Neodiprion lecontei: one gene and its partner. The protein of the gene in region 2 interacts with the protein of the main gene of each other region in a pairwise test. Links are inferred from orthologs where the notes say so. Each region holds a gene or a part of one and is shown on either strand. Other genes may lie near its edges.

Region 1 (4,954 bases), on a different chromosome or scaffold from region 2:
GTAGACGATAGAATGACAACAAACTTCGGCAACCTTACGACCATGTCCATAAAAAGTCCAGCAACAAATTTCACTCGACCCAATTACGTCCTTAATGAACAAAACCCTGCCGCTAAATCTGAGCGACATCTTGTCAAACAGTTCTATATTTTTCAAAAGATTGTCATCTGATGTACTGTAAATAGAAACGAATGGGTCATATGATTGCTTTCCAAAAAAAATTTTAAAAAGCGAAAAAAGCCAAGCTGTTTAAATCTGTCTCCTACCTCGTGTAAGAGTACTTGTTGTTGTGACGATTAATCAGCAATTTAACAACAGGTTTTGTTGTGTTGCTGATAAGGAGTTGCTGCTCACGTTGGGAGGTGATAAGTGGAACCCTGCAGATGGGTTCAGCCTCCCGCTCCTTCCGCTGGAGCGCTTGTTCGCACGACTCAGCCAGCTCGCCGATGCAATAATACTTTGCCTCGGCCAGCAGCTCTGCCATCTCCTTCACACTCTCAGGTAGCGGAACTGAACCGTCCCGCAAAAAGTTTAAGATCGTGCCAAAGTGCTTGCCACACCGATCGATTAGGATCCAGCCTGTGAAAACGAATAATAGTAAATAAAAAGAAAGTAGGGAACTTGGGTGATTTTAAAATTTGTACACCATTTCATTTGGAATTGCCTTTTGGAAAGAGGCATGAGCGGCTCCTCACCTTCGCAATCTGTAAGAACCTCCATCCGACCGCTAAACATAGCTCGCAACATAGTGTCATGTTTGGTGAGCGTGCCAATGGTGGTGTAATGAAGGGAACCGCCAATGTTTAATTTGACGTACTGCGACGGGTTTCCTTTCATGACAGTTTTGTGATCCCCCGACATAACGATTTCGCCGCCAGGTATTAACGCGGCCGCGGATGATGACGATGATGGTGATATGTTAATTGTATCGAGCGTCAGACTCAACATTTAAGACATGAGCAACAGAATCGTTGCTTGTTAATAGACCGGAAATTTTATTAAAACCTGCGTAACTAAGGTTATTTACAAATACAAGTTGGATTCGCTGATCAACAATAACAGCGAATTTAATACGATGTGATTTTAGGTTATAATCACTGTAAACCAAATCGAGTCATTTCGACCTCGTGATGGTTTCCTATGTCTTATCTAATTATACGAATTGTATTAAATTCTTATCCGCGGCACAATTCATTCGATATTCTCATGGTCACTAAACAAAAATTCCTTTTAATAAACCAAAAAAAAAAAAAACACTATTTATATGTTTTGCCCCATGTTGGAGACGTGAATATGATACGCGTATGAGAATGTATGCGAGCATTATGCATGAGTGTAACTCGCTTGTGTTAACAGGCTTGGGTAACGATATCCTAACGAAGAGAGTCAGCCTTATGATGATACGTGTTTCAACAAAATTTAACAGCGAGCTACACCGGCTAATATGCATTTTACAATGCCGACATCGTCAACTGACATACCGACAAAGCGTGTTGTCTTTTTCTAGCTGGCGCATTCAAAAGGGAGGGAAAATTTAACGTTATCGATAAAACGCCGGCTGACGTTTTTCTTAACCGACCAGCACCCGAAAATTATAGCCCGTTATGAATGCCGGAAAACCAAGTTTTGAGCAGGTTTTATAAACTTTCACTGCTTTTCGCTATACATGTTGTCTACTTCACCATTCCTTTACACGCGCAATAGCTTAATTGTCGTAGATAATTGTAATGAAGGAAGATTATCGGTCGGCTAAGAAAATGCATAGTACCGCCTTAACTCGCCCGGCACCTGCGCGTAAAGCAATTGCAATATACACATGCATACGTCATGAATCACATCTGTTTGACGAAAATGGCCGACTCGCTGGGAAAATATGGGTTATTCATCGATGATTTGAGCAAGATACGGGTACTGGAGCCAGAAATATCGAATCAAACAAATAAATTGAAAGAGGAGTGTCAGAATTTTGTTTCCAGTAAGTGACAAGCAGATATAAAAGCACAAAAGGGATCAATCAGCGTGACAGCGATTGACAGCGGTTCCAATGGCACATGCACACAATTAAAATCGTCCATAATAAAAACATCAATACAGAAAAATATACTTGTTATTAAAATCTTATTCGATTCACTTACCTCTATTAAAATTTATTTCACAACCCTCGAGACGTTTATTAAAATACAATTCCCATCAACGCGCTCGTTATCAACGAATATCCTTGCTTGTTATAACTTTGTAAATCGCGCAGACTGCCATCTTTATTATTTTACGCAGACTAAAAAGTTGATGTGTGCGTATATGTTTAGCCTTATACACACTTCGAAGTTCGATTAGAGCTGGTGTAAAAATAAACTGAATCAAGTAGAATGCATTATAGAAATTGTACATTATGAATTACGACGGATTTAACGGTTGTCCTTTTTTCCGAAGAAAATGGATTGATTTATCGTAGGAACCGTTTCGATAGCCCCGTATAGCAACGAGCGAGAAAGCGAATGGAGTACAGCATAAAGTACGAGTGCAATTATTGTTCTAATCCTGGGTAAAATTTTTAGAAATAACAGAGTTCCAAAAGAGTTCCGACGACTTCATTCAGATCGTCGACAATTTGGCGAATGAAGTCGAAAAAGAAAAGATGCGGACTATAGGGGCGCGTAACTTGTTGCGCTCAGTCGCTAAACAGAGAGATGCACAGAGACAGCAAATTCAGGTGTACATCATGAATTACAATTAAAGTTTTCAATCATTACCATTAATTTTATCGTATGCAACGAACGACAACAATGTACTAAACACGCGGTGCGTGTGTTTTGTTCTATTTCTAGGCTCTTATAATTGAAAAGTCAACGGAACTGGAGCGGCTACGGGTGCAGTACGATTCATTGAAAAAAATCGAACTGGAACAACTAGAAACTATAGAGCAATTGACCGCGAATTGATGTTAAAATTTTTTATCGGCATTATTCATATTTATCTTCTATTTCCTTTATGCATATTCTTTATTCCGTGTGACTTTTTCAATGAGGATTGTAGCATACAATTATAAACACTGTTATCAGCTGGTGTATACAATATTATGATGGTGTAATTAATGAAAAATACAAGAGGGTGGTATTTGGGCTGAGCATATAGATAAATTACAGTAATTACACAACGAAGAGAAACGGAATTAAGATCCAAAACAATGAATAATAATAGATAGAATAATTGACGAGTTTTTTTTTTTTCTCCCAAAATTACATAAATCATGTGTGATGTAATTATTTTTAAAGGAAAAACTCATAGCGAGATGTGTATGCCGTGCGTGTGTATACATATACATTGCTGTATATATACATACGTACGGACTACATAAAATTATAACATAATAATTAAACACGGAAATAAACGGGCTTTGGGTTACTGGCTCTATTTAACCTATCTGCATACTGCACCACATATAATTTGAAAAGGCACACGTTCAAGGATCGCCTTCCCTCTCTTAACTGTTCAATATTACTCGTTATTGAGCATTTCTTCATTATTACATACACGGTCAAATTTAATACTTCAATCCGTATTTAATTTTTGACATTCAAGATTAACAACAGGCGATTCTCTTTTATCTATTTTTTTTTCATTTGTTTGTAGTTTACAGTAGATGCCATGAACCGCAATTTATTCGATGATCGAGTGGATTGTTAAACATCGTTCATATTTCGCTTCAAAGCGAAGAACAGAAAAAAAATTGTATTTTACGTCAACAACTTAGACCTATTAAGATTGGATTATTATCATCATCATCATCAACGTTTGTAGATAAAAAAAATGTACATAACGTATATTTTTTCATTCTCTTATAACAATAAAGTTATTTTAAAAGAGAAAAATAATCATAAAGATTTACTGCAAACAGTATTCATTCATTACTACCAGCACTGAACTTAATTCATGTAGACACGTAGTCAAGGGCAATTATATTAATGATAAGAATGATAATTATAATAAGAATAATAATAATGAGAAATAGATTAAACTAGATAACATTATAGTCACGCAACCATCCATACAACCATATAGTAACCAGGAATTCAAAAATAAACTTTATTTAGTAAAAATAAGAAATGGTGTCGTATTGAATTACAAATATTATTATTAATCCTACATCCTAGATTTATAAATATGTACAGTTACATACCTATTACACCTGTAACCTAGAAGAACTCTCAGTTGAGTACACATCATAAGAGTAGATTGGAGCAGATAGGAGAATCTAATTCCATTTCCTCTCGTTAAGTTTGCCACATCTTTTTCACACAACGGTTTGCGATAATCAAATGTTCCATGCACGCATCATATATATTAATATGCCGCGACACTGAAGCTATAACATATTATGTTGTTTTCTGATCCTCAGATACCCATTAAACTCGAAAGGCAACAGATTTATTTAACAATGTCTCATTAAAAAAAAATTTAAAACAAACTCTATAAGCGTCAGCCCCCAATCTGCTCCAATCAATCAGTCTGCCACCATTGTTCAACACTAACGATTATTGCAATCCTCCAGACGTGACGGTTTTACACTATTACTATTATTATTCATCATTCATCCGTTCGTTCTGTGTATGTTCAATCATAAAATAACTATTATACTGAGAATTTCGCCAATTTCTCAATTTATTAAGTCCACAGTTTTTGTCGGTTTTTACCTTTATTTTTTTTACCGTTTTTGCAATTCAAGTTTCACACAGCAGGATTTCCAAAACTTTACAACGGCCGTATTATTATCATTGTGTCACTCTCAAGAGGTTGCAGAGATACGTTAGTGAAGCTTAGCATAACTTCCTAGACAGTCTCGGTCTTTTGACGCTTAGATTCTGGCGTCGTTTCTTCACCTGTGGATATGTTACCTTCGTTTGCCAAAGGAATTGGTGATGCCGGTCTTTTCTTATTCTCCGTTGCGATTGATGTC
Region 2 (7,011 bases):
TAATAGATTATAAAATATCCATACATTATAAAGAATATATACATTTGATGCTTGGTAAAATTGTTAAGCTGAAAAATTATGCAGTTCACTATTCAATTTAACGAATTAGTAAGTTATTTTGAAGAAAAGGTAGCCACTGTTATTTTCCGCCGAATTTATTTTACTTTCTGCAAGTTTTTAAAATTAGCTTTCTTGTTTTACGCAGTAATTTGCAAGAAGAATAGATTCATTTAAGTATCAGCAGAAATGAAATAGAAACTTAATTCTGTTGAAACCAAATTGAATATAAATAATATTTACTCGAATGTTATAATTACTCAGTAACAAATACCTATTTATTTTTACTTTCCTCGCGTATGAAATATAAATATACAATATATTATTTTATATAAGTGCAAAATATCTGTAATCTTTGTATAACAAACTAGGTAAGAACTTCAAAATTTCGCAAAAAAATTATTCTTTCATCTCAGTATGTGTTTCCAATATAAACTTTAGTTTACTACGGTTTTTTTTTTTTAGAAAATGAAAACTGAGAAGCCCTTGCATAATAATGTATGGACATAGATCATTTTTGTAATGTAAATTTCTATGTTTGCACAAAAATAAACTGTTATATTATTATACATAATGATATACAAAGGTGTATATAGGTAAGTCTATATTCATAGAAAAGAAAATAATATTGTAAAGAATCATAAAAACGTGTACATGAACTATAAATTACATAGAATAATTTGTAATTACTGTACAATGTATGTATCTATGTGTATAAGTTCTGATTCAACTGGTTCTGTTTTGTTTGCTGGGCAAAGTAACATTTACCTTGCGAATAATACGCATAAACAATTACTGTAAAAAATATTAATTATAATTATGGAAAAGTTTTATAGTCAGAATTATAATTATGTTACAGAACAATTATTGGTTTTCAAAATCTTGTCCTTCGCCCGATCTCCAGGAGATTGCCTTCTGTTTATTATCAGACTTTATAAAACTTAACAAGAAGACTACTTAAATAACTGAGCATGATCTTTTGAAATTGACATCACGAGCTGTATGATTCATTAGGATTATAGCTGTGAAAATAGGTACAATATTTACACCTGTATGTAGGACAATTTCCTTAGAAAGGAGCATGCTAATGGCTTGCCAAGTTTCATAATTGAGGTGTATCGACTGCATACCAAGCAATTTTTACATAGCATTTTGCACTTACATTCTAATTGTCATATGCCAAGGATGCACGGTACACTTTTCAATTATGGTTCATTAGGACTCACCAGTGAGTTCGTCACTCTGGTTACATTCGTTATAATAAAAAATGTCCATTCTGCTTTAATCTATCGCATAAAGTGTAAAAAAAAACAAAAGAAAAAAAAAACCTTGTTACTTGGTGCAATCTTAGATATAGTCTATAAACATCGTCATAATATTATGCTATAGTATGGTATTACTGTCATCCAAATAAATATGTAAACTATATTACTATAAATGACCTAATTTGTTGGACGATACAAGTTTATATTAAATAAAATAGCAATACATGCAATTAGCTCGACATAGATTCCTTCTGCACTGACCAAAAAAGAAAGCAGAGAACGCATGTAAGCGTGAAATGATTGCCAAATTTTTATAATTTGTGGCGTTCACAAGTCTTACAATTTAGTACCTGAAATGCAACACGGCAGATATTCATACAATCGGTTTGGTCTGCAACACTGTGTACTTTAGTTGTCGCTATTATTTTAGTAAAATTTGTTATAATTAATACAGATAATCAATAAAACAAAGATTATGAAATACTATTTGTCATGTTATATCGCAGCTGTATTACATGTTGGTATTTCTATTGCATCCAACGTAAAATGTTTGTATCTATTGTAGTATCATGTATGAGAATAAGTTAATACGCAGTTGGTACGAGCTTGTTGAATTATCCATCTTACGATACCAAGTTAGTAATTAGTTTCCTACAAATGTCCATTGAGCAATCTCTGTATCTTCTGATCATTTTTCATTATCCCAGCTTTTACTTGGCGTATTTTATCCAACTGAACTTTGATATTACCTTCGATGTCTTTGAGAGTTCCTTTCATGGGTTCTATAAACTCCTCTGTTGAGCTGTCATAACAATAACAAAATTTATGCGTATTTTATATAATTATTTGGAATATTATTACTGCTTTAACAAGAGTGCGACAGTGCTGTTTAAATATTATATAATTTTTTAATACTGAGTAATTATAGGTGCGCTGATGAATGGAGATAGTTGTCGACTATTATTTACTCACATTTGCTCCTGGCGTAATTGTTCACTCAATTGATTATATTGACTTCGCCATTCATGGAGTTCCCTCTGCATCATCTCTACATCTTCCTGTTAAGCAAATACAGGTCGTTGAATGCATGCAGGTTGAAAAGACTGTATCTTTGCAAATGAATAAAATGGACGTAATTTTCTGCAGCCTTGTATGGTCTCAATCAAAATGCTATATAACTACAAAAGTAATTTTTTACCTGTAAATAATCCAAGAGTTTACCCAGTGGGTTTGTCGCTCGCGTCAAAGTTTGAATAGAACTTCGCAATTTATCAATTTCTTTTATTGCTGTTTCACGATCTCTTCTTGATCCTGCTTCCCATTCCTATAACAATATACACGTGAATTTTATTCTATGGATTTGGAAATATACTCAGATACTACTGGTCTGAGATACTGGTGCATCAGAAGATTGATTTGAGAAAGTAGCGGGGACTTGAAAACTTAGCCGGTTAAACGTGATGTTCAGTATGTGATCAGATATTCAAATATGCTCACAATCTCCACCTTCTTGGGCATAACATCGACGTTGTCCGTATTGATTAACTCTCTTTGAGTCTCCAAAATTTGAGCTACCAGATGTCCATGTTCTTCCGAAAGCTGACTTTCAGTCCTAGCTAATCCATCGATGTTTAGGGAATCCCCACTCCCACCTGTCTCCATTACAACCATATCATCAACGTCATCTTCCTCTTTTGTGTCAAAATTTTCTACGATTACATTAACAGTGCCCATTGGAGTTCTGAAATGAAAAAAAAGCACATTAGAAAAAAATACATATGTGTTAATGTCTAATTACTTTATTATCAATAACCAATGATCCTTAGGATTACGTTATATCTTCATTTAAAATGAATTCAGTTTTTGATCGCATCCTAGGAGCTGCAGGTCTAGCGCTCATTGGCCTGGCACTGGGAGGACGCAGTGAAGTTTTTGATCTCACTACTGTCGTCTCAGGAACTCTATAAGCAAACCACAGTAATAGTTTGAAAACTTTACAAACATTGTTTTCGTTTCATTACCAGATTATAAAAACACTATCGAGCTATTCATTAATATTGAACTATATACTTATTAGACTGACATTGCTGTATTTGCAGAATCGTCTGGGGGACCTGCAGGCTTTGGTGGTGGAGAACCTGGATGCTCAAACGTATACTGTTTTTGTAATTTGTTTGGTACTGTATCTGATTTCGATGATTTATGATTTGGTGACAGCAGGCTACTTGCTTCTCTTACTTTGTTCCCAGCTGAAGATTTCGGTTTCGATTCACCTTCTAAGGGAGCTGAGTTTTTTTCTGCACTTCTCTTTGTCCTACCATCAGAATGTGAGCTTCTACGAGAACCATCATCATTCGCGCTTGTTTTTCCCCTTATTTCAGCAGATTGTCTTGTTTCTGGTTCTGATATTCTATCAGGCGGTTGTTCCGTTTGGTTATTACCTTGTTGCGATTTTACTTGCTTGTCTATCGGCGAGTTGGTGTTACGCAACGAAGATTCCGTCATTTTATGAGTAGGTGAATTTGTTGAATCTGATAAAGCAGGTTTGGTTTTTGGGGAGTCTAACGTTCTTGGTGATGAAGGATCTTCCTTGGGTTGAACTGACGCTGAGCGTCTTTGTCGCCTCACCGAAGATGGCCGTTTTTCTTCCTTGGACTAAAAATAATTTAGTTATACAATCATTGGGCGACATTACAAGAGTTATGGATAATATGTTTGTCAAATGACTAAATCTTTTATAAAATCGTCATGGCGGTGTTCAAAACAATGGAAGAAAATACTTTCTTATCGATCAAAGTAAAAAAAGAAAAGGCTCTACGATACAAAAGGTAAACAAAATACGACGCTCAACCTATATCTAAAATAGATTATCTACTCTAACTCCTATATCAACATCTCTTTACCTCAGCAGAAGGAATTTCAACGATCTTTTCTTTTTTATCCCCACCCTTATTTTTTGCTTTATTCTCTTTTTCCTGTTCGTGTAGTTTTTCTCGTCTATTCTCAGCACGGGTTTTAACTTCTTTGGGTGCATTTTTGCTGGTGCTTGTAGACTTTTTCTTTTGATCAATCGGAGGCTTCTCTTTTTCCACTGGTTTTCTAGATTGTGAAGACTGTCTAGACACTGGCTTCTTAGACTCATCTTTAGCAACCAGTTTTGATTTCACTGGCCCCTTAGATCTACCATTACTATTTTTATAGTGCTCTATTGCTTCTGCGCTGCTGATCTATTGTGAAAGATAAACAATTACACAGTGATACCATTTTGAACATTGGGTTTACCATTTTACGAATAACTAGAAATTATTGTGAATACCTTTTTGTCAAGGGCTTTTCCAATCGCTTGCAGTAACTCATTGGTTCGAGTGGGTTCATGTCCAGCGATGATCTTACTGGGTCGTACCATGAGGTTATTTCCAGTAATCAACTCTGAAATGTTTAACTTATTATGTTAGCTATCTAGAATAATCAGGAAAAATATGACCATCTAGATAATTTGTGTCTTCGTTTCACTTACTCACAACGTCAATCAGTTTTGTTAAATACGCAAGCTTGGAGTCTTTGTCTTTTATATTTTCGGAATTCAATTCATCTTCTGTAAAAAGACCATCGAGAAATCCAGTTTCTCTAATTACCTTTAACATTATAAGAACGTTAAGCACAATAAATTAGCAGAATAATTTCAAAGTTTTTATTTTAAATAAGGGTGAGCAATTATGAAAAATGAATTAAATGTAAAAAAGCGCGTAATATTAACTAACAGTATTACCGATGAGACTATATCATGTAGAAATCTAAAAGGTGGTTTCTTTAACAATTTTTCCGTGAGTGGTGGTTTTTTAAAATATTTCCCGAGAATATCTTGAGTTTTTTTAATTACTTCCGGCTTTACGTCTTCCGTCATTTTCTATTATATATTATGGAAATAAAATACGACGTTTCAAATGTTGAAATAGATTTGACAGGGCGATGTTGTATACGTATCGGTTGCTGTTGGCGACGGATCACGTGATCAGATCTATAACCACGTGATCTTCCTCCACTGAAATGCCTTCCTCTCGTCACGCGCAGGGCAGCCAACATTACAAACTCGAATTGAATTGTGAAAAAAAGCTTAGCGATAAAGAAAAATACGATATTTCTTATAAAATTAACGATGGTTATAGCATTTGAAAATAAAATTCCCTTTTGGCTCATGTTATTTTCATCAAAATATCTTCGGAATTGAGAATCTTTGCTTCACAAAGGCGTGCCCCTTTATGTAGGCCATTTTGTAATGCGTCGTGTCCCAAGGTGGACGTTCCATCAGGGGCAAATGTTCGTGTTTATACATTTTTTCCCAGTCTTACTTTAATATTGACACATTATTTATTCCAAACTGAAACACAAACTGGTATTGCTGTTTAGATTTAGGATAATAAAGTGTTTTGTACATGAAACAAACACGCTGAGCAACGTCTAGATCACAGGTATCGTAGTGCGAGGTTGCAAGTAAAGAGATCTGGAAAACCATTGATCATCGCTGCGTCGGATGTCAGGGAGATTCTCTCCCGTTAGACTGAAAGCATGCCGCGTGTTATAGGTAATTACCCGTCCCCGATGATTACCAATCGGTGCCTTTCGTTCATACGTATATTTTGGTTAAATCGACGAATTCACGCCATTATACATGTTGTCTGTTACAGAAATCGTAAAGATAGAACATCCCGTCCCGTCAGGGAATGTCGAGGAGGCTGTTGAACTATTGTTTGGTATGTAGTGGCGTAGTTGCCGAAAGTGATTGTTAATACTGTTATTCTATTACTACGTATCTTTTCTGTAATACAAATAAAATTTTCTACGATAGACGGGTAAACTAACCATCTGTTCAACACCTGTTTGATTTCTATTGTAGGCGACTCACAAAACGAAAATGCCATACAGGCTGCAGATGCTCAGGAGGAGATTGAACTACTCAACGGACAGTGTAAGGATAAAATGAGTGTATTTTTAGCACCTCAAACAATTATTATGTATACGTATATAATTCAATACATGCGTACTAATGTACATTGACATCATAATATACATTGACGTAGAATTTTTATTTAATAACACGAAAGGCGGCTCCTTTGAAATGGTAATAAGTTATTAGGCAAAAAATTGGATACAATTAATTCTTCAATAATAATTGACTCAAAAACATGCAAAAAATATCAGTTATTCTATGTGTCACACAAAGTGGGATTCTAGAATTTGAGATGGCTTTTGCGAATGACGTCACAAGTAGTTTTCGAATCTGATTTACTTACAATGATGAGCATCCCATATTCGATAACATTGTCAAGTAGTTCTTTACTACTAAAGTTGATCAGATATTTTTTTAAATGAGCAATGTAAATATCAATGACTTAGTAAGTTACTGTTACAGATGAAGTTTTTTATACTAATACATGTGTTTCCATTACAGCTGGGTCAGACGAAACTGATCATATAATTGAAATTATAACAGACTACGAATGTGTTACCTGTCGCCGTATATTCAAATCAGAAGATGTAAGTTCAGTTACCATTTCTGTATCCTAATAAGTATGCTGTAACGAGAACTGAGCAAATTAGTATTCCATACCTTTTATTAAAACCAATTTTATGTGATTATACTTAAATTCAACATCAAGCTTTTCTGTGCTAGTCTTTACAACGTAAAGAA

What was found.
Region 1: the proteins of TRAF3-interacting protein 1 (region 2) and intraflagellar transport protein 20 homolog interact in a two-hybrid assay, tested with the Homo sapiens proteins (2 studies listed by IntAct). The link is inferred for Neodiprion lecontei from reciprocal best matches to the Homo sapiens genes TRAF3IP1 and IFT20.

The regions. Positions count from the first base shown.
Region 1 is NC_060264.1:1,963,370-1,968,323, forward strand, and holds intraflagellar transport protein 20 homolog, read left to right. Parts: upstream 1-1,842; 5' UTR 1,843-1,851; coding exon 1,852-1,975; intron 1,976-2,555; coding exon 2,556-2,710; intron 2,711-2,825; coding exon 2,826-2,939; 3' UTR 2,940-4,438; downstream 4,439-4,954. Other genes in the region: BTB/POZ domain-containing adapter for CUL3-mediated RhoA degradation protein 3, read right to left, coding at 1-175, 267-579, 696-948; probable protein phosphatase CG10417, read right to left, coding at 4,828-4,954. UniProt on the Homo sapiens protein: Part of intraflagellar transport (IFT) particles involved in ciliary process assembly. May play a role in the trafficking of ciliary membrane proteins from the Golgi complex to the cilium.
Region 2 is NC_060263.1:6,630,757-6,637,767, forward strand, and holds TRAF3-interacting protein 1, read right to left. Parts: upstream 5,357-7,011; 5' UTR 5,227-5,356; coding exon 5,092-5,226; intron 4,959-5,091; exon of another isoform or gene 4,958-4,958; coding exon 4,840-4,957; intron 4,752-4,839; coding exon 4,639-4,751; intron 4,550-4,638; coding exon 4,226-4,549; intron 3,978-4,225; coding exon 3,406-3,977; coding exon of another isoform or gene 3,393-3,405; intron 3,284-3,392; coding exon 3,155-3,283; intron 3,064-3,154; coding exon 2,820-3,063; intron 2,647-2,819; coding exon 2,521-2,646; intron 2,381-2,520; coding exon 2,295-2,380; intron 2,125-2,294; coding exon 1,974-2,124; 3' UTR 527-1,973; downstream 1-526. Other genes in the region: zinc finger protein 2, read left to right, coding at 5,889-5,904, 6,008-6,073, 6,217-6,303, 6,772-6,857.